Solanum lycopersicum: one gene and its partners. The main gene of each other region encodes a partner of the protein of the gene in region 7 in a complex. Links are inferred from orthologs where the notes say so. Each region holds a gene or a part of one and is shown on either strand. Other genes may lie near its edges.

Region 1 (3,626 bases), on a different chromosome or scaffold from region 7:
GGCTTCAACCTTGATTACTCAATTAAATAAAAGCATGATGGAGCTGCATTTGGTTCTCCTTTTCACTTTTTAATGTGAAGGGCTCACTAATCAGTACAAAACAAGTGTAGAGGACATTCCAGACATTGTATTTGTGATACTAAATTTATTTGAACTACTTTTTCTGTTTCTGGCCTTAATTTGCTATTTGAAGGGAGAAATAATGTCTTTTGACATTGCAGATATCAAGACGATTGGCTTAAGACGTCACCTAGTTCTCTTCAGTTCTGGGAGAAGGCACCTTTTGAGCCTTATGCGATGCCCAAGCATGTAAATTTTTTAATAACTTCAGGCTGTTCTCTTGCTTATCTCCTCAACTATTATATTGCCTTACCCATTTTCCCCAACATTTCAGATGACATATCACGTTGTCTGCCCAGACATCAATGCTCTAACAACAGCTGCAACTGATTTTTTCCAACAGCTTGGAACTGGTTAGTATTCTTAACTATCATACTAAACAGAAGATAGTGTATCGGTTACGTTTATGTGACTCAAAATTATAGTAGATGCTTTGTGCTTTAAGAAGATAAATATTCGGTATCCTAAAAGTGTAAAGCTGCACTAATTTCACAAATTGGCCAGTTCTTATTTAATGTTGCTGTATTTTGTAACTCAATCTGCATGACTCTTTCATTTTGAAGATATGGACAAGATCAGAGATGGAAAAATGATATTGAATTAATTAGAAAAAAGTGATTAAATTATTGCTTCTCATACAAATCCAGCTTCGTAACTGTCCTTGACATAGATAATGATAGTGGTATGTTTGTGTCATGAAATTTTGTTACCTGATATTTTTTGAATGACTTATCCGCAGTCCAATAGACTTCCCCTTTTTTTTTTGATTGACTATTCTCTTTTAGTTTATGAGACATGCAAACTGGGAACTCATTCGCCTCAATTTATGGGAAATGAGATGGAGATAGATTCTGGCAAGAATGCATCTTCTGGTTTTGTTCTGATTGATTGCCCCCAGTCAATGAAGATAGACAGCAGTAGTGCATCTATGCTGGGATCGATCAGTGATTACTTTCTGTCCCTTTCCAATGGATGGGATTTAGAAAGCTATTTGAAGTCGCTCTCAAAAGTTCTCAGAAATTTAAAACTTAGTTCATGCATGACCATGAATCCGAAAGAAGGAAGTACTGGTCCATGTACGGTAAGTTGTGATCCTCTTTGTTTCTTTTTTATATCTTTTCTATTTTTCTTCCCTATCTTGCTTTTGTCCTCTTTCTCCCTCTTTTTTCTCATTAGCACTAAAACTGGAAGATGCATCTTTAAAGTGAACTTCGTTGAGTCCATCATTGATTGGTGGAGATAATTGGTTTTCGATGTTAGGGCAGTCTACCACTTTCTCTTGATAAGGGGGCATTTTTGTATACTTGACCTTCTTTTGGCAAAGCAAAATGGGAAGAGTAGATTAAGCCAAAAGAGTGATTCCGTATTAATTTTTTGGCACATGTACTTCATAAGTATTTTTTTGGCACATGCTTCATAAGTAATTTTACTTCTGGAAAAGAGAACGCAAAAGGAAAAACTAGAAACTACAGTCAAAGTAGAACCTTTCCCACTGCCTTAGGTGCCTCCACTACATATCCATTTGTTTTAATATGATTGGGCTTAATTATAGTGCTTATGATGCCAAACCTTGGGATCCGGAAGTGTTAAGTTGATAGTGAAAGAATGACTTGCACGATGTCCTAGTGTCTTGGTGTGCTATGATAGTTACTCCAAGGTGTATTTTCTTTTGCACTGGTCGAGTAGGTCACATTTACCTGAGGCTAGTGAAACACTTACTAGTTGGATGAGCAAATAGAATAAGGGATATTTATATATGTTTCGTCCTAGATAGGGATTAATATTATATAGAAAGATACATCTGTTAAAAGGGATTAGTCAACTTCCAAAATGATAAAAATCTAAGGTAGAGCAGCAGCAGAAGTCATTGGATTCAATAGACACACCAATAATCAGAAGTTTTCTATATATATGAATTTATTCAATGTTTGAGAAGCTTAAGTAATACACACATTTTTTTTTGGGAAAAGAGAATGAGGCAACTCTGGCTAATGGTAAATGGCTCTTCTACTTCTGGTTGCATTTCTGAAGCAACACTTGCTGATAGTTTTCTTTTTTCTTAGTTTAGGATATCCACTTATTTCATTATTTTTGTCTTTGAATATACTGATATGAATATCTTTATTATATTCCTATCAACTTTTATGCGGTATCAGTACAATATAATGGCCTTGAATGAGAATTCGACATGCTATTCTGTTGGGACTTGGGTCCAATTGGGGTGGAAAGAGATAACTGGAATTCATATAGCCGACCTTACTAGTTCAGGATTGAGGGCAGTTGTTCTAAGGTTATTTTCTGTGCTCCAAGTGTTGCATATTCCATAGTTGCAAATCCTTCGAATATCATATTCTCAAAGTAAAAATCTTAGAAGAACGTAGAATATCTGATCTAAGCAGAGTATTATATGTTAAGGTAGTTAAGAGAAGCTTATATCTGATTGTATATTTGAATGTCAAATCAGGTGGTATACGTGGTTTGCCCTTTCCCTGAGCCTCTTGCGGTTCTACAGACGGTGATTGAATCTTCTATTGCTGTTGGATCTGGGGTTCTTTCTTCAGATAAAGAGAGGCGGTCTACGCTGCACAATCAAGTCGGGAAGGCCTTAAGTTACTCAGCAGCTGTGGATGAGGCACTCTCAAATGTTTTAACACTTTCTGGGTTTTGTATCCCTAAACTGGTATTGCAGATTGTCACCGTTGATGCAATTTTTAGGGTTACAAGCCCTGCTCTGAGTGAGCTTGTCATACTGAAGGAAATTGCTTTCACAGTTTATAACAAAGCCCGCAGAATATCTCGAGGGTCCCCCAGTGACATGGTTCAGTCGTCATCCATGCCCGGTAGATCTCATCCAGTTCTGATGCAAATGAACTCCCCAGTTCCAGGAATGTGGAAGGACTGTGTTGGTCCTCGAGGCATAGGAACTTCCCTTCAGAGAGAAGCTGACCTTGATGCAAACCTAAGGCCTGGTAGTTGGGACAACTGGCAAGCATCAAGAGGGGGAGGTCTTGGATGTGAGCCAAACAGGATCGGGGATTTTTCTTTTCAGGATGAAATTCGTTATTTGTTTGAGCCCCTTTACATTCTTGCTGAACCAGGTTCATTGGATCGTGGACTTTCATTTCCGATGTCGGGTAATCCAATGACTGAATCTTCAAAGCTTTTGTTGGATGATGGTACAAGTGGAAGTTTTATGCAGAGTTCAGCTTCTTCAGGTGGTGGAGACACTGGACTGAACACTCAGTCTGAAACATCTGTACCAGATGGTTTTGGATCTGCACATCAAAAATCACTTCCAAGCCTGCATTGTTGTTATGGTTGGACTGAAGATTGGCGCTGGCTGGTGTGTATATGGACAGATTCCAGGGGAGAATTGCTTGATAATCATATATATCCATTTGGGGGAATAAGTAGTAGGCAGGATACGAAAGGTCTGCAATCTTTGTTTGTGCAAATTCTGCAACAAGGATGTCAGATCCTTCAGTCATGTCCACCTGAGGCTGCCA
Region 2 (4,149 bases), on a different chromosome or scaffold from region 7:
CCGCGAGCAGCATATAGCAGGTGTCCGGCGATGACCAATTTTTTGAATCTAGCAGTAACTTCTGTACAAAAGAAGTGAAAAAAAAATAAAACAGTTTCTTAAGATTGAATACGTTGCTCTTTTGACATCTCTAACACCTCACCGATTTAATTGTATGGTTGAAGTTATAGCAGCAGAGTCATGTAGAACAGGGACTCTGCCATGTACATAGGTCAGCAAGAAGATCTCGAAGCTGGTCAATCAGAAGTTTGAGATGCTTGTTCTTGTCTACAAGCTCCTGCAATTTGTAAGAACAATAGAATATGCTTTAAATCTTGATCACAATAGCAACTTGATTTTTCACTACCGTAAGATAATAGAAAACTATTAGGCATGCACTCAAGTACGATAAAACTCTACCTTCACTTGAGGACTTCTTATTGCCACTAGGGGGAGACATAAAGCAAATGAAACAGGATTTGACTAATTTTAACGCAATAGGAATAAAATTAATAATAATACAGTATGTACAACAAGCAGAGGATGTTGAAACCAAGTTTTCATATGTTATCACAAAATCATATTGTTCTGATTTGAGGTTGTGACAAATATCGAGACTTGAGAAAGTTTGTACAGTAAGACATTTTGTCATGTGTCCGGAATGAAAATGTAACATGTAGTATACCTCAATATTGTTTTAATGGATAAGAAATTACTCAATGGATCAAGGAAGACATCAGTCAAGGTTCAAATATTGGCACACACATTTGCTTCACCAAACCCACCCATCATGCATCCCAAAAACCAACAAAAATCCAAGGAAATTCTAATATGTCAAAATTTGATATGTTATCAATACCTTCTTTAATGAAGAGGCCCGGTCTTCCAGCTGCTCAATTTCCGCTTGATCTGCTGCAGATAGTGAACCACTAGCAGAAGCAGCTTCCAATGCTTTTGCCTAGCTAACAAAGCCAGTAATGAGTGTGAAGTATCATACAATAAGTTAACAACTTTCCAAAATGTACAAGAAAATATAACTTGTTAATCATGAGAATTGAGACAACAGAAAGGAGAGTTTGACAACTTCCAGTTAAAACGGAGCAAATACTTGCACAACTCTTAAGAAAGAAGTTACTAAAAGAACTCATTTAATGTGTAGTCGGACATATGTTGAGCAACAAAAATGCACTCAACATCAGTGATTTATTTGTTCATACTGACAAACAAAATTCTTACTGCTTAACCAGATTCTCTCCAATGCACAAATGTTAAGGCAATCCATACACCAACACCAAGGACTTGAGATGTGATTATAGTGCTAATTCTTTCTTGAAAAGGATAACACGCAGTAGTTTATCTTGGTATAAACACTTATACCTCATGTGCGTTTAAACAGCAGAAACAAGAACAACCTCGAAAACATAGTTAAATATCTTCCCCCATCCCCAGCCCCCAACAGCCACCCACAAACCCAGAAGAATATAAGACAAATCAGAAAAAGAGTAAGCAGCACAGTTGAGCTTCATCAACTGATGACGAGGGATGATCAAACGACTGAATATTATATTCATAGTGAAGAAATATTATCCCCATGTCTAGAACATCAAAATATACAATTGCCATGTGCAAATGTTGCTCATATTGGTAAGGGCAAATTGTGCTAGTATATAACCACATGATGTCTTTCCCATATCAATCACCAAAACTGTTTAACCCCTTGTTTTGTGATTAAGATCAATCACCAAACACTTTTCACACTGAATTTACCTTTATCGCTAGATAATGTCTTTTTTTTTCTGCTCAAACTGGATAATGTTTTTCTCTCCTACAGTACTCCGAAGGAACTACATTTCTAGAATATCTATTTGAGTTTCATTCCCAATCAAAACTACCATCTAACAGAACACCAACACCACCTATGGCTCAACACAAGCTGGTTGGTGGTGGAAGTATACGAATCCTCCATATCCATATGGAACCACTTCACTCCAGTATCAAATAGTTTTAACCTTTGGAACCTCTAAAACTAGAGGTTATCTACGTTGGATCCAAATCTTTGCGGTCACGTTGAACTACCTTTGGCATTGAACAAAGCCCCAGTCTTTTACACATTTTCTGTTTAATGGACTTCACTAGAAGTGATTCATTCATATAGCTGAACCGAACTAGTTTATGATCAAGCCATTGTTGATTCATGATTACATCAAACTAACTTTTCCTGAGATCACTATCTTAAATTACAGATATCACACAATTACAAAAATGTTTTAAAAAATTGCATTTTTATACGTAAAATTACCTTTTGGGAATTAGAAATTGCAGTAAGAACAGAACGCAAGGAAGCAATAGAGGACTTATAACGCAGACGAGATTCATCAAGAGCACCACCACCAATATCCAAATGCTGAGCTGAAGCAGAAGAAGACGAAGAAGTATCAGACGAAATGTCGCCGTTTGTATGGTGCTGCTGTCCATTACTCAAAACACCACTAGCACCAACTCCTCCACCGGCCACCGCCACCGCAGAAGAAGCAGCAGCTGTATTTAGAGTGGACCAAAGTGATGGATTACAGAGTTCATCGTTCATGGCGGAGAGAATTTGATGTGCTGCTTCTATTGTATCTTCTAAATGCTTTTGCCCTTCTACTGCTAGTTCTTGTATGGTTTTAGGGCTTGTAATTGTGCCTTTATCCTCCATACCGGGTAATGTCACCGGCTTGTCAAAACCCTAGATCGACGGCGGCGGTAGTGGTGGCGATCGGCGGTGCGAGAAGTTGTAAGGAGAATTAATTTAAGCATAAAATGACGTCGTTTTATGCGTGGCGTGTACTTTTTGGGCCGGGTAAGGAGCTATGTATTACTGGATCAAGCCCAAAATCAAGTTACTTGGGTCAAAATTCAAGGAAAAATTATATAAATTAATACATTTTAATAAATAATTACTGATTTTAGCGATACTTTTTATTTATTGTCATTTATAGCAATATTATGTAAAATCTGCAATATGAATTAAAAGTGAATTATGTATGCAATGTACGTGAATTATAAGTTGTTTTTTGAAATATATTAAGTTTGTTTACTAAATTTGACACATTCTATTATAAATGTATTAAAATGTGTGAAAAACGTATTATCCATCGTTAAAATTTGTATTATATGTAATATTAAATTGTTATTTATAATATGTATAAAACTTGTATTATAAATAAATTAAAACTGATTAAGTAATTTTTTTTTATTATTGCTATAAATGGTAAATATTTTTTTAATTATAGTACGTGTATATAAGTTCCCCGAAATTCAATGGGGGAAAGAAGTGCACAAATATCTGTGTTTAACGTTGCAGAAAAATTACCAGATTACATAAACATTCCTATCATATTTACTACGTAGTTTTTTTTTCATAATTTTGAAAAGTTACGCATCGTCTTCTAATTAGTAATTTCATACTAGATGTCAAGTCATATAGACCTAGATGCATGTAATATACTACTATATACACTTTAAAATATAAACTTATAGAAAAAAAGACGAGTGAAAAAGACGTAAAGTGAATGAGAGAGAGTCTATGTATCGCAAATAGATGCAAACTAAAAAAAGTGTGATTCCAATTAAAATTAAAAAGCGAAAGAAGAAATGTTTAAAAACTTCCATTTGAGATTTTGAAAGAAACAAATCAAAGATTCCTTTTTTTTTATTCAACGTGCCATTAATACCTAATTAAAAAAAGACAACACCATTCGAATCGATAATTAGTCTTATTGTGCATTTTAATAATAGAAATTAAAATATTATATATATATAATATTCTTTCTATTTCATTTTATAAGACACTTTTCAGATTTTAAAATTCAAATAAATTTATTTTATAAAAAGGAAAAAATGACAAATATATTCTCGAACTACCGTAAATGATATGCAGATACCTTCAGTCATTATTTTGGGACATTGATGTCTCTGTCGTTCATAAATTAGAGCATATATGCCCTTCACTCTAACGAAGGGACAGGGGTACCAATGTCTCCAAAGTATGACGGTAGGAGCACCAATGTCCCAAAAGTACGACGACAGGGGCACCAATGTCCCAAAAGTATGACGACAAGGGCACTAATGTCCCAAAAGTATGACGAATGGTATTTGCGTACCATTTACAATAGTTTGGGATGTATC
Region 3 (3,952 bases), on a different chromosome or scaffold from region 7:
ATGTTTAAAATAGTTTCTCTCTATAAAATAATTTTAATATTAAAAGCACATCGATATTTGTTTTTTTTCGTAATTTGACTTTCAAAAACACTTTTTAAAAAAATTATTCAAACACAAATTGCTTATAAAAACACTTTTTAAAAAAATTAGTCAAACACATATTGCTTATAAAAACACTTTTCAAATGAATTTGCTAAAAAGTTTTTTTAAAAAACTTGTTTTAAGAAAACGTTTTTGAAAATAAATAGTTTTTAGATTAGTATATATTCATTTAATCAGCAAATGTATTTTTAAAGGGAAAATTGTATATAGCAAACTAATAACCTAAAATAAATAGAGTAGGTAGGGTTTGATTTAATTATGCTTCATAGTAAACGTTTGCAAAAAAATTGTCAGGCGCCTCTATCCCAAAAATCTCGTTCGCCACTCTCCTCCAATCTCTCACTCGCTTCCTCACTTTTTACACAAACACAAGTGTATAAAAATTGTTTCTAATTGTATAAAGCAGAGAAAATTGTATAAATACATATATTTTTGTTCCTCTCTCTCCCCTCTTCCAGGTCTCGCTCGCCACTCTCCCAAATCTCGCTCGCCACCCTCGCCTTTCTCACTTATACAAACAAAAGCGAAATGTATAAATTGCGTTTCTGTTTGTATAAAGCATGAGAAAATTGTATATACACATGCAAGTACATATATTTTCGTCCTATACAATTATAATTATACAATAAAAATACCACCCTGCCCAATTTCTTTTGTCTTTCTCTCTTTCTCGTTTTATACAATTCTCAAATTGTATCTAATTTCTCTCTTTCTCGTTTTATACAATTCTATTCAATTGTATATTCCTTGTCAAGTCTTTTTTGTCTTTCTCTTTCTCATTTTATACAAATTCAAATTTTATATAATCGTTCTATACACTTATAATAATGCAATTTGCTTTATACGCTTCGTTTTTATACAGTTCTCTGCCCAAGTGTCTTTCTATTTTTTGTTTTATACACTTCATTTTATACAATTTGCTTCAACTGTATATGTATAGAGAATTATATAGTTTCTATGTGTTAAAGAATGACAAAAAGTCCCACATCGGTGATTAATGAGATGAGTGAACTCCTTATAAGGCTTGAGCAATCCTCCACCCTTTGAGCTAGCTTTTGAGGTGTGAGTTTCCTTTTGAGCTAGCTTTTGGGGTGTGAGTTACGCCTAAGACCTAATTTCACACTATGTTGAATTTTTTGTTTGCTATATCTTTTTTAAAACCTTTATAACATATTAAACAAATAAAAAATTGAAAAAATGTTTTTTTTTAAAAAAAATATGCGTTAATTTAAGCAATATGTTTATTCAATTACATGCTTGTATGATAAAAATAAAAAATAAAAATTACAGGCAACAACTCGGAGCTGAGACTATCTCCGACCACCGGTGACTGCCGTTCTTCTGCCACTCATAGCCGCCGTTGAAGGTAAGGTATGATTGACTTCTCACTTGTAGATGCCGATATCAGACATCTCGCTGGCTCCTTTTTTAATAATAAGAAAAATATTTCGTGCCTGTGCGTCTTATATGTATTTGTATTTGTATCTGAGCTTTGTTTCACTCATGCATGATATGAAATATCGTTGTGCATTTGAGCTGAATTTGGGGCTTTTTGGTTCTTTCGGAGCTTCAGGGATTTGTAATTTGAGGACCTTATTTTTTTGGGTCCTAAATCCACTGCTTGCTTTAGTGGCTGGCTTTAGGGTTGAGCCGCTGCAGTCAGAGATATGAGTGATGAATTCCTCCAAAAAATGGAGAAGAGAGAAGATGACAAAGAGTTAATGAAGTAAGTGGAATATGAAATTAGTGAGGTTTTGAGAGTGTAGGACAAATTTGGAACAGCGAAGAAACATAAGACTATCACTGGTTGCTTGTTTAATAAACTGCAGATCTCAGGTTCAGGGCTATTGAACGATTCGAAAGAGCTCATTCGGAGTTGAGTGAATGGCTACTCCGAGATAGAATTTGAAAAATTGAATTCAAATTTATAAGACTATTGAACAATTAGAAAATTGCAAAAAACGAAATGATTCCATTTGAACAGTAAGGGGTGATTAATCAAGTCTGGCAATGGGTTTGAGTGTCGAAGGAAATAGCCCCTTTGCAGAAATGCTAGAGGAAGACGGTGAAATGTTAGGATTGCTCGTTTGATAATCAGCAGGTCTTGGGGGTAAAGGCGGAGCTAGGATTTGAAGTTTACGGGTTCAGTGTTCTAGTCCTTGATCGTTCGGTATGGGGGATGGAATAGACAAGGATTTCTCTCGTGGGATCAGCTATCCAACTTCTATATGGAATAGCCAATCTCAACATTTTAGAACATATCGCATGAGATTGTTATCCTGCATCTTGCCAACTACACGCAGGATAAAATAATCTCTTATAAATTAATAATTTATACATATTAAATAGATTTCTTAAGACAAATATAGAGTTCAGAGAAAAGTTGTTGATTTCGGCCAAACCCGTACCTTGAAAGAGTGTAGTAGGGTGGTAAGTTTAATGGACATAATACTTATTAGATGTAAGTTTTTCTTCTGTTTTCGGATTGATTACAGAGGATTTAGGTTTCTGATTGTTTAATTATTTGACTGCAAAGATCTCAGAACCAAAATCTCTGAAAACTGCACATAATCAGGTTTTATAGATTCTGTTTATTTCTCCACATCTAGATCGCTCTACGGCATTGCAATTCAGTAATCTTTTTCTCCTGTCCTGACAGCTTCCCTCAGAATACATGGATTCGCAAAGCCAGAATACTTCATTGCAGCGGCTGCAAAATGTTGAGAAGGTAAATGTTTCTACAGGATTATTGACTTAAGATGGGTTGATTTCAGTAGCTGCTATTCTTTGTCATCAAAATACTTAATGTTCTGATTTCAGAATTGATACTACAATATTATTCCTTCCTTGCCCGAGTCCTTGTTACTTGTTCCCCTATCCTGTATACCAAAATGTTTCAAGAAAGAAAGAGAGCGAGGAGAGTACTTTTTGAATTTAGGTGAAATCCATATTTCGTTGATTGGGTGAAACACATAGACAAGCTTGAAGATATATGGATGGTGTTATGCCTCGGTAAGGGACTCCACCATTGAGCTCTCCTAAGCCTTCTGGAGTTCCGGATCCTTCAATTTCTGGGACAACCGGACAAATGAAATGAATGAGAACAAGAGCCGCTTGGCTAGATAACCATGACTAAGAATTTCATGTCACCCACCTAACTGTCAAAATGGGCTGACCCAACCCAACTCAACCCATCCTCAAATCAGCCAAAATAATATAATTCGAAGTCAGAGAATGAAGATGGGAATAGTGTTGAGATGACGACAATGATGAATAAATCAAAGACGCTGTGGACCGAGAATAGGATCTGAAAGGGCTTTTCAAACTTCTGCTTCTGTTGGTTGCTTTCTTCCTGTCTGGCTCATTGAGTATCTTCCACAAACTCCAGGCTGATCTTCAACAGTTGGAAATCAAATCGTATTCGAGATCGTCCTGTCATATGCCCTGAATATCTACTGACACGAGTTTTCTCTGGTCTAACGGAAACAGCATCTCTGTTGTTTCCTAGTCATTGGTTTCTTCAGATTAAAAACGTGGAGATGATATAGCATGTCAAGTGCAAAGGCAACTAATCGTAATTTGATGAGTAAATCACGATCATAACTTTCAATGCGGAGTCAGTAATCACTTTTCTTGATAGAAAAAATTGTAACTGAAACATTACTCTCATACCTTCTGTTGCTGTATCTTCCTCTGATGCTTGCAGAGGATAGTCAGAGTTCTGGAGCTAGCAGGAGGTGTAATGGATGAAATGGCAAATCCGAGCGGCCCCAGGAAGGAGCTTATTAACAACCATTGTAGTGAGTTCATGCAACTAATCAAGGTAAGGACATACTTTACTTCTTTGCAC
Region 4 (4,099 bases), on a different chromosome or scaffold from region 7:
GGATGCAACAAAGATGCAGGCAACCTATAAAAGAACTACAATGAAAAGGGGTTAGTCTCTAGCTGCTAAAACTCAATATTTAAAAGTAACAACACTTACAAGCTTCTTTTCTTGCAGCTGACTAAGGAACCCATGCTGGTTCATTGCCCGAAAAACTAGAAAATCTGCCTTCCCAACATATTGTCTGATCCAAAACAAAGATGTAATTTTCATAAAGCAGTAATTGCACTGTGGACGAATAATAAGAAAATGTTTCTAACATGAAAAAGATCCACCAAGCAAAAAATTAATTGATCTAAAATGAATTACTTGTTATTCATGTGATCTTGGGAAATAAGGCGAACAATTTGCATTGTTGGAGGCCAATTTGCAGCAAGCCTGACAAAAACACAAAGGACAAATCAATTCCAAGTGTTAATACAGTTAAAAAAACACTGCATTATGGAAGTGAAAAGAAGACTAAAGATGCATAACAGAAAAACAAAAAGATAATTTTCCAGAAATGACATCATTTGCTTCAAATACATAAGAGCATCCTGTATATCATTCCTATGTAGCTACCACAAATCGAACAAAGAATCACATTTGGTTTAAGAACTTCTACATCGACTAAACAATTATAGCTGAAAACTAAAATATGAGTTAGATTCCTTCCACAAATTTATTAGTTACCCTAGAGAATTAGATTCCTTCCACACATCAATTCAATATAATGCAATCCGGAGAAGTACAACTTTCATCAAAGGAATCACAAGCATCCAACTAATGCTGCCAGCACACCCCAAAAATTTGTCATCGCTTAATCCTATTTTTCAAACACTTCAAGATTGGCTAGATCTCACCTGCCTATCCAACGCTAGAGTACATCTGAAAAGAACTCTATTTGTCTGCTACTTACTTCCATTCTTAAGTCTACCAGGGAAGCAATTTCTCATCCAGTATGGTTGCACACAGTGATTGAGGAGATGTCCACTTTACACGCAAGTGGTATTTGGGAACTTGCCCTTCATCCTTCAGGAAATCTATTGTTGGCTATCGTTGGGTTTATGTAGTCAAAGTTGGTCCAGACGGCCAAATTGATCAGCTAAGTCCCGCCTTCTTGCCAAAGGATATCATCAGATATGTGGCTTAATTGTGGTGGTACTTTCCCTCATGTGGCTAAAATAGCATATGTCCACCTCTTTCTATCCATGATTGTTGTTCGCCATTGTCCAATTTATGAATTGAACATTAAGAATGTTTTTCTCTATGACGACATTGATGATGAAGTTTATATACAGCAACCACTATGTTTTGTTGCTGAGGGGATGTCTAGTGGTAGTGTATGTCGATCGTACTGGTCACTCTATGGTTTGAAACAATCTCCTCAAGCCTGATTTAGTAAGTGCAACATAGTTATTTAGGAATTCAGCATGACTGGTAGTGAAGCTGATAGTTGTGTTTTATCAACATTCAACTTCAAGTTTGTGTATTTATTTAGTGGTTTATGGTGACAATATAGTTATTATTGACAATGATTGTGATGGTATCACTAGTCTAAACAACATATCTTTTGGCACTTTCAGAAAAATAATTTGGGTAGAATGAAGTTACTTTCTAGGTATTGTTTTCCTTTTTTAATGATGAGAAACCCGCAACCGCTACCCTTTGGATGCGCACTGGGTAAAATCCCTCACTTCTATGCAATAGCTTACGAACCACGCAGGAGAAGTTACCTGCATTAGGCAAACCCGGTGAGACGAGCTCGACCAAGAAGGCAAACATCTTTTTTTGCTAGCAAGGGGTTTCGAAGCTGAAACCTCCAACATGGAAGTCCAAAGCCCAATCAATTGGGTCTTCCTGAAAGGGTATTTTATTCCTATTTCTTAACAAAAATATGCTTCTGAGATTCTTGAAGAGATAAGATGGGCTGTAAATCCAAAGGCACTCCTATGGAACTGAATGTTAAGCTTATGCTACGACCCATTGACACTCGAGGCTCAAATCCATAAGCAGATCATTGGATACACCAATGTTGATTGGTAGGGTCACCTTCTGATAGACATTCTATGTTTGGTAATTGTATTTTAGAAGCCAGCAATTTTTAGTGCGTTGTTAAAGCAAGAAATAGAGTGTCGTTTCTCATTCTAGTCCAGAACATAATATCAAGCAATATCTATGACAACATGTGAGCTAGTTTGGAGCAAGTGGGTGTTGAAGGATTGAATTTGAAGAAGTAGGCTAGCAATCCGATTTCATAACTAGTTGGTACGTTCGAATAATAAAAAGAAGTTCTCTTTCTAATCCTATTTAGATTCTGTCGGGTGAATACAATCAAACAGAATCCAATTCTGATGCAAAAATTCAAATTAAAAAATGAAATAGAAAAGATACAAAATCAAAAAAAAAAAAATCACTAAAGGTGGGTTGTAAACCTTATTAGATACCATTGACTCTGGTATCTAATTAGTTTTACATACTATTGGATTTGAACCAATGACTCCCACCGTATGAAAGCAGTACTCTAACCACTGAGTTAAGTAGGTCATTTATCATCCCAAAGAGAACCAAATGAAACCCATCCTGTCGATGGATTATAAATATCATATTACTTGTAACCAATACTAATATAAGGAATACCACTCAAAGAGATCAAAGATTCTTGATGTTACATCATGGAATATTTCTCTTGACAAGATTGAGAAAAAATTGTAAAGGGAAATGGGTTATAGAATAATGTCTCAGTTGTAGAAAAAAAGAATTTTATAAAAGATGAATCCCTCAAGAAACAAGTTTCTAAGACTAAATCAGGAATTCCTTGGTGTCTCTACCATTTACTGATCTTGCTAAATTTGAGAGATCAGTGCATCATGACAACAGAGTTCTTTAGGTGTAAAATAAAAGATCTTGCAATTCGAAGATGGAAAAGACAGTAGCATAGCTAAACTTACACTATAAAATACAACTACCAAATATCCGTACAACTTATGGAAGACAAATATATAGTCCCTTCACAATCCAACAAGGAATGGGAACGTTGCAACAATAACAGCAGACCCATTGAAATCCGACAAGTGGGGTCAGGGGAAGGTAGAATGTACGCAAACTGTACCACTACCTCGAGGAGCTAGAGAGGATGTTTCCGAAAAAACCCCGGGTCAAGTGCAGAAAATCCAAGTACAAAGAAGGAGACAGTGAAGAAAATATAGCGAGTAACAAGGAAACAGTGCGAGTCTACCAGAAGGAAGCAAGACAACAACAAAACAGTGCGATAACTCAAACACAAAAAACAACATAGTAGGATTGTTTATTGTAAGTGACATTGTGAAATCACTAAATCAAGCATTTATAAAAATGAAAACTTACGATTCAGAAGCTGAGGCACTCCTATACCCCTGCCACAAGAAATTGGATCACAAGATTTTGTACAGTTAGTAGAGATCCAGCAAACCATTTTACAACATGAAGAGATAAGTAGGCAATACTTCATGTCTCAACACAAAAGCTGGATTGCCTTCTTTAAGACACTATCACTTAATGATAACCATTAGAAAAAGATCAAAAAACACAAAAGAACTTGTAATCACTAGAAGTTCCAATAAGACAAGTTATAAGCATACCTCCAATCTGGTAATAAATACAGGCTGCCCCTGTCTCTGACCAGATAAGTTTCCCTGCAACATTTTCATTACAAATTATCAGGAGTACTTCATTAACATCATACAGAAATGTAGAGCTTCTTGTAGGTAGTTTCTAAAAGAAAACAAGATATGGGAAAACATGAATTCGATCGGGATGACGAAAAATTATAGCAAAATAATCAGAGTTCTTGAAAAGAACAGCAGTTCAAAAAATTGAATAAATACCAACCCAGTTTCTCATTGTAGTATATAACTTGCATATTATCACACTATTCAAGGGTATAGACATATCCTCAGTATAAACTATAAGTTCAAAATTGTGGTCTTACAACCTCAAATATGATTTTGCTGGTTCTGCGCAAAGTCTAAAACAATTGTTTCTTTCAAAAGTTAAAGTAATTGGTTATGCATCAGAATAAGTTCTATCCTCAGCCCCAAACATCAGAGCAACCATTAGCAATTCACTAATATTATGTTAT
Region 5 (4,730 bases), on a different chromosome or scaffold from region 7:
TGATTGAGTTATGATGTAATCTTCATTTTACGGTAAAGATAACATCAATTAAAGAAAAATGGTAAGCGACAAACAGTGGCATGCGTTAAAAGTAATAATAGCTCAAAACTACAACCGACAAAGCAAGCTGCCAGAGCCGCCAATACAACATGTTAGTTAACTCGTAGACAAAAGTTCAAACCTTTGCGATAAAAACAAATTCAGCACTCGATAAATAAAGCAATGACCATCATTAGTATGCATCGATGATTGAGTTATGATGGAATCTTCATTAAAGATAACATCAATTAAAGAAAAACGGTAAGCGACAAACAGTGGCAAGCGTTAAGAAGTAATAATAGCTCAAAACTACAACCGACAAAGCAAGCTGCCAGAGCCGCCAAAAAGACATGTTAGTTCAACTCAAAGACAAAAGATCAAACCTTTGCGATAAAAACAAATTCAGCACTCGATAAATGAAGCAATCACCATCATTAGTATGCATTGATGATTGAGTTATGATGAAATCTTAATTTTACGGTAAAGATAAACGGTAAGCGACAAACAGTTGCAAGCGTTAAAAAGTAATAATAGCTTCAAAACTACAACCGACAAAGCAAGCTGCCAGAGCCACCAATACGACATGTTAGTTCAACTCGAAGACAAAAGTTCAAACCTTTGCGATAAAACAAATTCAGCCACATTAAAGATACCCCGGATCAGACTACTAGAACTGTGTTGTGCATACATATTTTGACGACATTCTTACAGTTATTTCAGCAATAAAGCAAGAGTTACTTACTCAATCAATGTCCGAGATAGATGCCGAACATCCTTTGAGTTGTGCTTTCTGAGAGAATTAACCGACTTTCCAATCTCTGTGGCCTGATATAGAAGCAATCAATTATGTCCATCCAGAATAAATTTAAAAAACAGTAACCACAATAAATGGAAGATGAAATTTTGGAAGCGTCAAAAGATCAAACCTTTAAAGTCTCCACAGACAAAGCCATTAGTTGAAGCCTTCTTAAGCACTCAAACAACTCTGCAGACTGTCAAAAAGAACAATAACTCAAAACCCGATTACTAGAGGAAAGCTCAAAACTACCAAGCAAGTGAAATAGCAAAAGATATAAAGAGTTTAAAAGTAGCTTCATACATTGTTTTAAAGCTAAAGAAAGCAACATCCTTGTACAACTAGATCAAAGGAACAAAAAGGGGGCAAAAAGGAAATGAAAAGCATAAAGGTTTCCTAACTGTGACATGAAAACAACCTCATATCAGATTTTCCAGTTATAGACACTAGTAGAGAAAATAGAATCACCATCAAATTCAACCACAAAAGTTCTAAAATCTTACAACATTAGCTCAATTATCAAGATTCTTCTTCCTGATCAACCCCACAAGAACAGAAATTTCAAATCATTAAATTCAACCATAAAAGTAACCATTGTTATATGTCATACAACACCAGAAACTCCAAAAATTTAACAACATTTAAGCTCAATTATCAAGATTTTCTTCTTGATCAACCCCAAAAGTACACAAACTTCAAATTCACATACACAGAGTCCACCAATTCTTGACTGAACAAATCCAAACACAGCAAAATACTTCAAATCAACAGTATAACCAAAATTCAATAGAGATGAAATGAACCTCAGCTTGGTTGTTATCAATGACATCTTTGATCCTCATCACCTCCCCAAAAGTCTGAGTCTCTTCCTCCATTTCCTCAGTTAATGCCTCAGCTTCTCCATAACTATAATTGCTAACTTGATTCACATTCATCTCAACATCATGATGATCTATCCTACTGTTAACTTTGCTCTCTTTACTACCACCAAACTCATCCTTACTCTTAATTTTTCCTTCATCATCATTACCAGCAATTGGTACAGCTAAATCAACTTTCTCACAACCAAAACACATAGTAACTTTACATGTAAACAACATTTCAGCAATTCTATCCCTTCTCATTTTAAATTCCTTTGGACAATCAACAGCAGCAACCATCACTGCATACTCAATTATATCAAATATATCCGAATTTGCAGTACGAAAATAGTCCCTCCATTTATCCAAAGTCCCACTACTCTTCGCCATAACTGATGATTCAGAGCAAAAACAAATCAACCCAGATCGTAAAATCAATTATTTATCAATACCCAAATATACAAATTCAATCTTTATCCGATTTTAATTATACCCACAAGAAAATCATACAAATTCTAATCGGAAACAAGGTTTTTAGCAATAAAAACCTCTGGTTTTCCGATTAGGTACTTTTTCCGATGATCGGAAACTGAATAATCAGTGTCACCGGCGATTCAGTTCTGCAAAATGCAATCGGATACAGATTTTTATGCTTTTTTTTTAGGAAAAATCCATATGATAGAAACTCTATAAACCCAAAATGACAAAACAAAATTAAAAAAATTAAATAAAAATCCGATTAAGTTTTTGGTGAGATATAAGAAGAGAAATCTAGAAAAAATTATTCCGATTGAAAGAAATTTTTCCAGAGAAAAAGAATATATGTTAAAAAAAAAGTATAGAAGATTTTCTCTCTCTAGCTATCTTTTATTATTTTAATTATATTTCTCTCTCTGTAAAAAAAAAAGCAATACAAGGTGCTGGTTCAAAGAGACACGAGAGAGAGGAAGAAAAAATATTGTTTTTTCTCTGTTGGGGGTGGGGGGTAGGGGTTAGGGGTAGGTGATAAGGATCAATTTTCTTCGGTCATTAGCATGGATCGTGGTGAGATGGTTCTGATTCCTTCATTTTTAACTCGAGAGATTGTCAGTATATAAAATATATATTTTAAGTATGAATAAGTGTGAAATTTGAACTAATCGAATTCTGATATGTATATAGAATGGAAATTGGATTTTGAAAACTTCTTTTATGGATGAAATTCATAAGGATAACTTTGATGATGACAACGATAACGATGAGAATAACATATTTGATATAGGTTCATAAGTAAAGTTTAAAGAAATGATATGGATATAGATTTTATTCATATCTCTTTGACATAGAAAAACTATTTTTAACTGTGTTCAGTTCAAAGAAGGATGATAAGAAATAAATAAATATAGTGACATAATATAGAAAAACAATAAAAGAAAAATCTGAAAGGAAATGATTTTTATTTTCAAGTTAAGGAAGTGATTTATCTCTTTGCTTTGAAGTAGTTTTCTTTTTTTATATATGTTTTTTTTTATGGAATTACAAAATAATATATCCTCTTCATTTATTTTTATTTATCTATTTTTAATATATTTCGTAATAATAATAATAATTTTGTTGTGAATATATTAATTGATGAATGATGTATAGTCTTGGATATTGAAAAATGAGCAAGGAGTAAGCAATTAATATCGATGGTAAAATAAGAAAAAAATGTTATTTTTTATATATTAAAAGTAAGAAAATAAAAAATAAAAAAATATTTAAAGTATGTTTTAATTGATTTATTTTTATATAAAAAGAAATATAAGTTGTTAAAATAATAAGATGCTTAATTAATACGGATAAATATATATTCACATTGTTTATTTTAATTTTTAAGAAAAAGTCTTATTACGTTTGATTCGTATAAAATGTCATATTTACATTAAATTTTTTTATCATAATACTGTCTGTTTATAAAAAATATCATAATATTATATTAAATTCAAATTTCAATGACAAACTATTGTTATTTGATACTATTATTCATTTGGAGTTTTATTTTTTTACTTCAAATAAAAAAGGTAAATTTTTTATTTATATAAAGTTTAACTTAAATTTTCTCCAATTTATCTTTGCCTTTTTAAAAATAGCAAGTGGACTAAAAAATTAATTCTCCTGTTTTAGTCTTATACCACCCTTTGTTATATTAGATTTTTTCATGTTGTTTCCTTTTTTGTAGTTTATAAATCATAATATGTTATATATAAATTTATATTTCTTTTTATATTTTAATGAACAAGTTATTGTTATGTGAAATTATTATAATTATTTATTTAGGACTTGTTCGTTCTTTGATTAACTTAAAATTAGAAAAAGAGTTTCAATAAAGATGTTATTATCCTTAAAATCCTAATAAACATACAAATTACTTATTTTTGCATTGTATTTTGTAAATAAAAGTACCATATAATTTTTTTTATTTGTTGAAGTTTGTAATTTCTATTGCTAGTGTTGTATAGTAGATTTTCTTTCTATTTCGAAAGAATTTAATTTATAATACTAAATAAATATACGAAGGAATTAAACTTCATTAAAAAAACAGAATTTTTTTGTTTGATCCAAAACAAAACAAAATTTTAATTTTTTATTTATTTTTCCAATGCATTTATCAATAACGAGGTAACGTTTATATGATCTCGGTCCTCATTGTTATGTTGGATTTTCTTATCTTACGTGTTTCATTTTAAAAAATTGCACTATCATAATATTTTTTTTACAAAATTATATTTTGGTGACAAAATAATTGTTACTTGATACCTATAATTCAATTAGAATTTCATTAATCTTCTATAACTTAAACTATTGAATAAACTTGACTCTTTGGACTTTTTAATTGTGCAACTAATAATATGACATTTTATTTCTCTATTATGTTTTCTCGACTAATGTTACTAAAATTTAAATGAAAAAATCTCAAAAATATCCTCATAATTAGTGAAATTGAACAAATTCGTCCTCTGTTAATATCTTAATTTATATGTGCCTTTAATGTCAAATATTTGATTTAAATATGT
Region 6 (4,616 bases), on a different chromosome or scaffold from region 7:
GATCACCTACAAGTGTGGTTGTGAAATTAGATTCCACAAATAGGATGCAACATAGCTTTTATAGGATGATTAAAGAACCAACGCATAATCAGAATATTTTAACACAAAGTAATATGTTCAGTGTAATGCTCCTATAGAACCCAAAAGCCATTCTTAAATTTAAAGAACTGACATTATCAAGATAATGGAAGAAACACATCATATGCTCAATAGGAGTATTACCCAATTTTCCGCTTAAGCATATATAAGTTTAATGAGTCGTCACAAAGTCGCAATTAGGTCAATTTGACCAACCAGAATAAAGTATAAGCACAATACTTGATTTTACATTGGAGAACTATGTGTTAAGTAAATAGGAAAGAGTACATCTTGTCGAGAAAAGGACACACGGCATAGTTTCAAACTGAAACTCATAAATATATATGGGGAAGCACTTCACTTGACCAAAACGAGAAAAGAGATGAGTGATAACATGAAATCCTTGGAATTCCGTTAATGAAAGTGATACAGCTAATATAATTTTGTGTGCTGCACTTAATTTCAGGTCTATAGATCTAGGTTGTACCGATTCTTAAGTGTCACACCACCCAATTCAAGCCAAATGGATAAAGTTCCTCTTTTGTTAGTTTTCTGGAAAGACAGTAGGCCCTTGAGAGTCAGTACCTGCAACTTTGAGGACACGGAATTGGAACAGTCGAAGGGGAAAGAATAACTACAAAGGCAAAGGTGATTATAGGAATTCGTACAGGCTAGCCGAGGAGAGGGACCGTAACCTTGCCCAAGTGAAGTGCATCAAAGACCATAAATACTCCTCCCATTTACCATAGATTATAGGCAAAGGTTCATATACTTAGACCACACTAGAGAAGTTGCTCCTTCATTTATCATCAAAATCTGAAGTTCACATGTCAATATGGTGATTCGAATTCTTCACTCCATTGATAACCCATTACTGCTATAAGTGTGCATTGGCAATCTTCCAGTCACCTATCACCAGATGTCTGAGCTAAGCCTAAAAAATTAAGCAATTGAAACCACAAACGAGGGCATCCCAAAAGAGTTCAAAGGCAGGCTGCTTCCTTTCTGTTTTGGTTACTTGGTTTGGGAATAAAATTAGTTCTACATTTATTTCTTAAAGAAATTTGATCCTAGTGAACCCAACAAATGTGTAGTTGATCTCTCGCAAAACTTTAGCACTATGTTTTCTGACATGAGAAAGAAAGTACAGGTCATTGATCATGCTTGAGACTTGGGAAGGACTCTAAAATTCAATAAACAACAAATCACACTCTTAATAGGATTTCATTAATGTGTTTGCCAATGAGGAACTGCAACACCTATTCGAAAAATGAAATCATGGGGTGCAAAATGTATTACCTTAATTCATAAATTAGTTGATAGGAGGTCTGTGCTATGAGTAAAATAAAATTATCCGTCTTTCCTGCTAAAACAAAATTATCCAAGTCAATAACCATTTCAGAAACATTACGTCACAAATCTAACCCTAAAATATAAAATCATAACAAGAGGGAGCATGCAACAACAAGCATTGACAAAGTTTTCACAGTAAGAGAAAAGTAAAAGAGGAGAGGAAATACTTTCTCTTTCTTCGATCAACAGAAGCATTCCTTGGGTCCGTTTTAGCAAGACCAGATCCAGGAGGGATGGCATACTGCATCGGGGAAAGAGCTGCAGCTGTAACAGGTGTAGGAGCAGGAGGTGGAGCAGTTGGAGGGGCTACACTTGATGGTAGTGATGCAGGTGGAGCAGAACTTGGTGCAGTTGCAGGCTCAGGAAGCGGCCGCGGCAAAATATGTTTCAACCGGTTATTTCTGTAGTTCTTCCAGAAGTAAAATTGCTGCCTATGTGCTACTTCCTAATAGTTGTTACAAACATGTAGATCAGATCCTATCACAGATTTATGTGCCAGAACTTTAGGTTGGCAAACAAAGTGCAATAAATAATAAACAGTGAAATGAGATGAGATGTCCTCGGGGCGAGAATTAACCTCGACAACACGATTAAATAATTATAAGTTTTATGCCTAGAAACTACGGGAAAGTTCAGAAATGGAAATAAGGCTAATGGCTAAGACAATGAAGTACCATGTATTATAAAGTGTTTTGGCAGCATTTTTAGTCCATAGAAACTGTGTTTACAGAAAGTGGGGTGAACCTTCTTTATAGTGGCTGACAGTCTTAACTAACTAAAGAGTATAGCAAAAGTGGAGAAGGAAACCAGGACAACACATGACATAACTTTTTACCTTGTTAGCAGGATGAGCCATTGCATTACGAAATGTTGGATTTTGGAGAAGCTCGAGAAAGAATAGGCAGTGTGGATACCTGCATTAACATCAAGAAAGGAAAACCAATACGATTAGTTAACGATATCCATAGTCCACAGGAAACAGAAAAGGAACAAGGACCATCATCCACTGCATCTAAAAAGTTGCAGTAGAAAGAACATACATAACTATTATCACATATTAATACTATAAACTAACTTACATTATAAACTTTATGTACTCAGGTCGTTGCCAGTACTGAAGGTACTTCAAGTACCCAATAAAAGCTTCATCTTCAAAATATCTGTTCTGAGCCAAATCTGCATCAGAATCAATACAAAGTCCACAAAACAAAACAAAAAATGAAAAAGGGATAGAAAAATTGAAGCTTTTGCAACCCAATATTCATTTTCACACCAACAACATATATAACATAAAACTAACAATAATTGGTAAATACCCAGAAAACATCATGTTTAAATAAGAGAAGGGAATAGATAGATAGATACAGTGAATGTAAGTTGGGTTAGCAAGGCATTGAACAAATTCGAGTTCGAGTAAGAAACGTTGGCGCCCATCATCGGGATCTTTATAGACGCTTTTCTGCCTGCAAATTGGAACAGAAAAAACAGTTGATTAATGTGAATTTGCGAAGATGCAAATTGATTTGAGATGAATTGATTCTGCTTACGGTGATTCATGGGTTTCTGGATTCGATGTAGAAGCCATGCGCTAAACCCTAACTAATTCTACTTTTCAAAGTTAGCCGTTGATTGTATTGCTGCGCTATATATACAAAAGGAAAGTCTGAAATTCATTGCATTTTTAAGATGTAATGTAAAAATGGATTAAATTCATATTGAAATAAAATTTCAGTGTTAAAATGACATCTTGTATTTGATTTTGATCCTAATTTTTATTTGCTCAATATGAGTGTGTCATTAGATTCATTTACTCACCTAGATTATACAGTCGATCAGATTGAAATGGTTAGAAATCTTTTTTTTAAGTGAAGTCATAATTCTCATATGTGATTATACCAGTGTTACTAAAGATGAAAAGCGCAAAAAAGCTCTTACGATCCATGGGGAATTTAAGCGCAAATAAAATGTAAGCTTTGATGAAAAAAGACGCAAAGGGAGGAAAAGAGTATAAGTATGCATGTTTAGTCCAAAACTAATAACTATAAACATGAATATGTCAAATATATGATCAAAGAAATTGAAAATAATTATGACAAAGTGAAATATCAGTGATTTAACTTCACTGTCTCATAAGAGGCTCATTGGTAAGGTGACGTTTGCCTTAGAACATTGGTGAAGACACTAAAGTGCACATAAAGCGACGCGAAGCCCTCAACACGTTTTTGAGTCTCGCTTGCGCGCTTTATATCTAAGTTTTGACCAGTTTTTTATTAGTATGCATGAATTTTTAAGCTTAAATTCGTAGTTATATAAATGTGAAAATTGTGATTTTAGTCCAAGGGGTTAAAAAAAAAAGGGCGATTTTGGATGCAACCTTCATGATTTTGGTTTGGAATAAAAATCTTATATCACTTTTGATATTTATAAGCTTGAATTCAAGTTGACTCTGTTTCGGTTATTTCTCAAAGAAACATGTCTACGGGCCACAACTGAATATATGTGTCATGAAAGAGAGGTGCATAATACCATGCCTAAAATGAGCATGGAAATTGGGGGTTTTGGACCTACAACTACGAAATCATATTTCGATGACCAATGTTTCCAACCAAATTTTAGATTTGTTTACCCTTTATACAATTACCAATTTGGACTACTTCAATTGGTATGTCCATGCTTTTTCCTATTAACAAGACGCTTTACCATACACTACAAAATCTTCATCTCTGTCTATACCAAAGCATTTTGTATCTACCCTAACATGGAGTAATAAATAGTCCTTTAATAAAATTAAACACCATTGGTCTTATTGCATGTAGCTATTAGGATTTGAAGTTGGGGATAAGGAGGTTTAGGAGAGGGGAGCTTAAGAGTGACCAAACCACAACCATACATAATTCAGACCATCTCCAACAAACTGTCTATTTTATTTGTCTTTTCCATTTGCTGCCCAAAATGCAAGCATCTGAGCAAGCTAGCAAAGAAAAAAATTCTCAATCCCCAGAACCTAAAACATCATCCACAGAGTTGAAATTTATGTCAGCTAATGACTTATTTGAATTAGAACATCCTTTGCCCTCAACCAAAGAGAGTAAAACAAGGAGATGCCCTTTTCACAAAGCGAGCTCCATGCTTCTCTAGGGAAGGCTGCAATCCAGCTTAAAATTCACTAGTATGGCCTGTAGCGG
Region 7 (4,099 bases):
GTGCATAAAGTTTGTACTCAGAAAACAGTATCATACGTGGATTGTAATTCTATGGATGACTTCAAACTGAGCTATCCTTGAAGTAAACTCTTTTCAATAAAAGATGTGTCTAGTTTTCCGATGTCAGCAACTAAACATATCTGAAAGAGTGATAGTCTTAAAGTATGTGATATTGTCGTGGCTATAGAGGAAAACATTTGCAAAAATCTCAAGGGAGCTGAACAAACTGTACTACAAAAACTAGAAAATTTATCACTTGTTCATCTCATTGAACTAGAAATAGTGGAAGAATGTGTATCCTGAGAAGTAGTTTTCTGAAGAAGTCTTTCCGCATCTTATCAAATTTCTAAAGGGAGAAGAATACATAAGATATGGACATTCAGAGTCCTCATGTGTCCCATATGTGTCTGATGTATGTGAGATGACATGAATTTATGTACCCCAAAAATTTACAGTATTAAATGAATCGTTAGACGGACAGTGAACGCGTAATACCCTGAATCACGAACAAGTTTCAAATGATATAAAGATCAAGTTCAAGGCAACAAACATGTGTTACAGGATGTTTGGCGGAACCAGGGTCTAAACAAAAGGGGAAGCCGGGTGCACCACGCCTGGGTTTGGGGAAGACCGAACCACATTAAGTCCATTGTGAACACCCTTACCAACCATTACTGCGAGAGTGAGTTTCCATGGCTTGAACTTGTGACCCTTTGATCACACAACGACAACATCTACAAAAACAGGATGTCAAATAAAAGTAAAACCAAGTTGCTAGTACTACTGTGGGCCTCCTATGACATGGACATATTAAACTTCGTACTTCAGGAAGATAGAGGCAGAAAGTTCATATTGATAAAGCAGTGGAAGAAATTCCCATGCCGTAGAAGATGCAGAAAAAAGCTGTCAGTGAGCCAAGTACAGGTAGTTTCTTCTGCGACGCATACCACGGCACAAAGGGTTTTGCATACTTGTAATGGTCTCCTCATTTAGGTTCAAAAACTGCATTTTCATATTGGCTCACGTTTATGGAAAAAAAGCCACATAGTATACAGCTACTTGAAAAGATTAAATTCGGACTCAGTAATCTACCAAGAAGATTTTAGCAGACAGAAGGAAATAGACAAATTTTCATGAGTAAACTTGAATTTAGTCTTGAATTTTGAACCTGTAGCCTAAGAACTGAAGTTAGTTGTGTAAATAATCATGGGCAGCAAAGGGTATGGGAACCATAGTGTTGAATTCACGATGTTTATTATGTTTCCTTGCTAGAATATGGAAGGAACTACTATTGATGATTAGCAATAGCTTTGGTAGTAGAAATCAAGGGATTAGGTGTGCAGGCACCTAACCTTCTTAGACTTGTTCTCAAAGGCATGATATTGTAGAGAATAACAAAAGAAAATATAATTGGAAAAACCTTCTGCTAGCCAAGATCGTTAATTATGGTAGGAAGATTCCACTGAAGAGAGGAAGCTATGAAAGGAGAAGGAAGAATTAAGATAGTAGAACTTTGTTATGGATGAAGACTTTTTGAATTGGCACGAATTGCTTCGAGGTGGATATTTTTCTTTTGGGTTAACTACAAAGGACTGCCACCCCTATTTATACTTGTGTAGGGATGCTCTAGATACATCTACAAGAATAATCATGACAACTTAATCTTCTAACTATTTAACAAGAATCTGGAACTTCCAAACATATCGTAAAGATATGTATCCAAGACACTACATTAGTTCATTCTGGAAGCTTTCTTAAAAATATGTTCAGAAATGCAAGAAAGTTGTTGGATAGGTCAGAAGCTGCTGGAACTTCTCCGGAAAACGAAAAGTAATTGGAACTTGGCAGCAAGCAGATAGGAAGTGCTTGGAAGAGTAGGGCCATCTCAACGAAGTAGGAACAGATCAAAACAAGTTTCAAATTCAATAGTTTGTGCATTAGTAATTTTAGAATCATATTTACTCGACCACCATGAGGCCAAGCAGTAATTCCAATGGCAGCCGCAAAACACCACTACCAGCATAGAAACAACAACAATCATCACAAAAACATGCAGAGCAGAGAAGTGGAGTGTGGGGGCAAAAAGAAGCAAAAACTAGTGGGGAAGTGAGTGGAACATTGGGTATAGCAAGTGGGTCAACAGATTCTTGCAGAGAATATGTCGATTAGATCTCATAAATTCAAGTTCGTATGAGAAGACGGTGACTGAAAATTAACTCTTGCTGGCGTAGACTGTCGAAAGTTGAGGATTTAATCTAGTTGGAATTAGTTTTTCAATTCTTGCTTGAGTTTCAGAGTGAGCGTTCATGGTGGTTGAGGCCTGATAATAATGAATGTTCTAGATAAAGAAGATGACTTAAGAAAATGGGTTTATTTGTGTGTAATGGGTAAACTGAGTGGGTTAAATGGGTAATGGGTAAATTGAGTGGGTTAAATGGGTAATGGGTAAATTGGGTGGGTTAAATGGGTATGGGTGGATATTGAATTTTGGGTTAAATAATTAATTAAATCAGGTTGAGCGGTAGGATTGCGACAGGTGTACTAAATAAGGTTTCCGTTAGTGGGAGGGGTAAATGTGCACTGATTTTCGGACGGTAGGGTATTAATGAACGAAAAGTATGACGAAGGGTATTTATATACTATTAACGATAGTTCGGGGTTATATTTGTCCTTTTTCCCTTAAAAGAATTTGGAGTTTGCTACACCACTTGGGTGTAAATGTGTGTGATAATGTTATTCAAGGACTTGATAGAACAGTGATCACATATTTAAGAGAAGTGGTAACAATAAGCATGTGAATAATTTAAATATAACTAGAGGAATTTTTATGCATTTTCCAATGATCAGAGCTCAAAAGATGTGTGTTGCAGCAAATTATGTTTAATTGGATCGATTCTCCAAGATAAATGTCAAGTGGGTTTTGTTGTACTAGTCAACCAAGTTAGCCAGAGCCTCAGAAAACTTCAAGGATGACACTAAAAGTGTCACTATAAATTTTTCAGCACCGTGTGTACTTCTACACAAAGATGTAACAAAGCACCATCTCCATGTCAATTCAGACAAGATAGTAGGTTATTATCTTGGGTATCTAAATGCAATTCTAATACATCAAACAGATGAAGTTGAATCTCAATTGATTCGATCAGGAGAATCATATAAATCTGTCTGATCCAGTATCAGAAATACATTTGAACAAAAAAATGTAGAACTTTTATACTGATGATAAAACATTGAAAACTGAATCTGAGCTAAAAAGTTCATTTTGATCCAATTGAAGTTGTATCAAGTCAAACATGGGTGTATTTATTTACTCACTTTTACATAAAATAAATGTTAGTATAACAATGGTAATAGAAGCTATGCATAAGCATTGGACATAACCAAAGAGATACTTGGTTTGACGATTAAAATTTCGACATTCACCAACTATAACGAACTTTTTTATTGCACATGATAATGTCCAAGATGTTAAACAACATGTAATACCACAAGTGGGGTATGGGAGGTTCGAGTTTACACAGACCTTACCCCTACCTTAAGAGGTAAAGAGGTTGTTTCTGATAGACCTCCGGCTGAAGTATAAACATTTCAAACAACCAAACAAAAGAAAACACTGAAGAACAAAAAATGTTCACTTTGTTACCTCTCCTTCCATGACAGATAATTTCCAAGAGCTTTCTGCAATTCCACACGCTTGAAAGGTCCAGGGGAAAGCCAATGCTCAGGCGGGCCACGATTTAAGAGATAAACTTTCACTCTTTGTTGGAGCTCCTTACTGTCAAGTAAGTTAATCTGTTTGGAATTTTAACAAAATAAGTCACTATTCCAATAAATTGCAAATAACTACAACACTTACTTGAAAGTGATCACGGTGAGAAGGAAAGAGAAAATGAGAGAGAGCAAAGCTTGATTATTCTCTAAGCCATTGGAGTTCTAATAGAAAAGTGTGTGTTCTAAGAAGGGAAATAGAATTAAAAACATAATTACAGGAATAAATCAAGCTATAGTACATTTACATGATCTTAGCATATTCTAGAATATAAGGGATTCTAAGAGCATTCTTAATGTGAATGAAAAGCCCTTACAATCATGGTGAGGT

The links.
Region 1: mediator of RNA polymerase II transcription subunit 23 (region 7) and mediator of RNA polymerase II transcription subunit 13 share a complex: the UniProt entries of both Arabidopsis thaliana proteins name them as parts of the mediator complex. The link is inferred for Solanum lycopersicum from reciprocal best matches to the Arabidopsis thaliana genes AT1G23230 and GCT.
Region 2: mediator of RNA polymerase II transcription subunit 23 (region 7) and mediator of RNA polymerase II transcription subunit 30 share a complex: the UniProt entries of both Arabidopsis thaliana proteins name them as parts of the mediator complex. The link is inferred for Solanum lycopersicum from reciprocal best matches to the Arabidopsis thaliana genes AT1G23230 and AT5G63480.
Region 3: mediator of RNA polymerase II transcription subunit 23 (region 7) and mediator of RNA polymerase II transcription subunit 11 share a complex: the UniProt entries of both Arabidopsis thaliana proteins name them as parts of the mediator complex. The link is inferred for Solanum lycopersicum from reciprocal best matches to the Arabidopsis thaliana genes AT1G23230 and AT3G01435.
Region 4: mediator of RNA polymerase II transcription subunit 23 (region 7) and mediator of RNA polymerase II transcription subunit 25 share a complex: the UniProt entries of both Arabidopsis thaliana proteins name them as parts of the mediator complex. The link is inferred for Solanum lycopersicum from reciprocal best matches to the Arabidopsis thaliana genes AT1G23230 and PFT1.
Region 5: mediator of RNA polymerase II transcription subunit 23 (region 7) and probable mediator of RNA polymerase II transcription subunit 26b share a complex: the UniProt entries of both Arabidopsis thaliana proteins name them as parts of the mediator complex. The link is inferred for Solanum lycopersicum from reciprocal best matches to the Arabidopsis thaliana genes AT1G23230 and AT5G05140.
Region 6: mediator of RNA polymerase II transcription subunit 23 (region 7) and mediator of RNA polymerase II transcription subunit 31 share a complex: the UniProt entries of both Arabidopsis thaliana proteins name them as parts of the mediator complex. The link is inferred for Solanum lycopersicum from reciprocal best matches to the Arabidopsis thaliana genes AT1G23230 and MED31.

What each region holds. Positions count from the first base shown.
Region 1 is NC_090803.1:12,752,110-12,755,735, forward strand, and holds part of mediator of RNA polymerase II transcription subunit 13, read left to right. Parts: intron 1-221; coding exon 222-309; intron 310-394; coding exon 395-473; intron 474-905; coding exon 906-1,201; intron 1,202-2,584; coding exon 2,585-3,626. UniProt on the Arabidopsis thaliana protein: Component of the Mediator complex, a coactivator involved in the regulated transcription of nearly all RNA polymerase II-dependent genes.
Region 2 is NC_090807.1:2,029,146-2,033,294, forward strand, and holds the start of mediator of RNA polymerase II transcription subunit 30, read right to left. Parts: upstream 2,801-4,149; 5' UTR 2,678-2,800; coding exon 2,279-2,677; intron 938-2,278; coding exon 839-937; intron 278-838; coding exon 179-277; 3' UTR 143-178; intron 62-142; 3' UTR 1-61. UniProt on the Arabidopsis thaliana protein: Component of the Mediator complex, a coactivator involved in the regulated transcription of nearly all RNA polymerase II-dependent genes.
Region 3 is NC_090803.1:5,625,740-5,629,691, reverse strand, and holds the start of mediator of RNA polymerase II transcription subunit 11, read left to right. Parts: upstream 1-1,152; 5' UTR 1,153-1,468; exon of another isoform or gene 1,469-1,473; intron 1,474-2,761; 5' UTR 2,762-2,776; coding exon 2,777-2,830; intron 2,831-3,808; coding exon 3,809-3,925; intron 3,926-3,952. UniProt on the Arabidopsis thaliana protein: Component of the Mediator complex, a coactivator involved in the regulated transcription of nearly all RNA polymerase II-dependent genes.
Region 4 is NC_090811.1:29,968,124-29,972,222, forward strand, and holds part of mediator of RNA polymerase II transcription subunit 25, read right to left. Parts: intron 3,654-4,099; coding exon 3,600-3,653; intron 3,375-3,599; coding exon 3,346-3,374; intron 379-3,345; coding exon 310-378; intron 185-309; coding exon 100-184; intron 1-99. UniProt on the Arabidopsis thaliana protein: Component of the Mediator complex, a coactivator involved in the regulated transcription of nearly all RNA polymerase II-dependent genes.
Region 5 is NC_090809.1:61,265,863-61,270,592, forward strand, and holds the start of probable mediator of RNA polymerase II transcription subunit 26b, read right to left. Parts: upstream 3,053-4,730; 5' UTR 2,086-3,052; coding exon 1,639-2,085; intron 1,032-1,638; coding exon 966-1,031; intron 865-965; coding exon 782-864; intron 1-781. UniProt on the Arabidopsis thaliana protein: Component of the Mediator complex, a coactivator involved in the regulated transcription of nearly all RNA polymerase II-dependent genes.
Region 6 is NC_090802.1:52,519,271-52,523,886, forward strand, and holds the start of mediator of RNA polymerase II transcription subunit 31, read right to left. Parts: upstream 3,171-4,616; 5' UTR 3,017-3,170; coding exon 2,979-3,016; intron 2,895-2,978; coding exon 2,797-2,894; intron 2,608-2,796; coding exon 2,511-2,607; intron 2,346-2,510; coding exon 2,267-2,345; intron 1,877-2,266; coding exon 1,599-1,876; intron 1,445-1,598; coding exon 1,429-1,444; 3' UTR 1,378-1,428; intron 1,206-1,377; exon of another isoform or gene 462-1,205; intron 7-461; coding exon of another isoform or gene 3-6; 3' UTR 1-2. Other genes in the region: polyadenylate-binding protein 1, read right to left, coding at 4,598-4,616. UniProt on the Arabidopsis thaliana protein: Component of the Mediator complex, a coactivator involved in the regulated transcription of nearly all RNA polymerase II-dependent genes.
Region 7 is NC_090804.1:17,739,156-17,743,254, forward strand, and holds part of mediator of RNA polymerase II transcription subunit 23, read right to left. Parts: intron 3,793-4,099; coding exon 3,644-3,792; intron 1-3,643. UniProt on the Arabidopsis thaliana protein: Component of the Mediator complex, a coactivator involved in the regulated transcription of nearly all RNA polymerase II-dependent genes.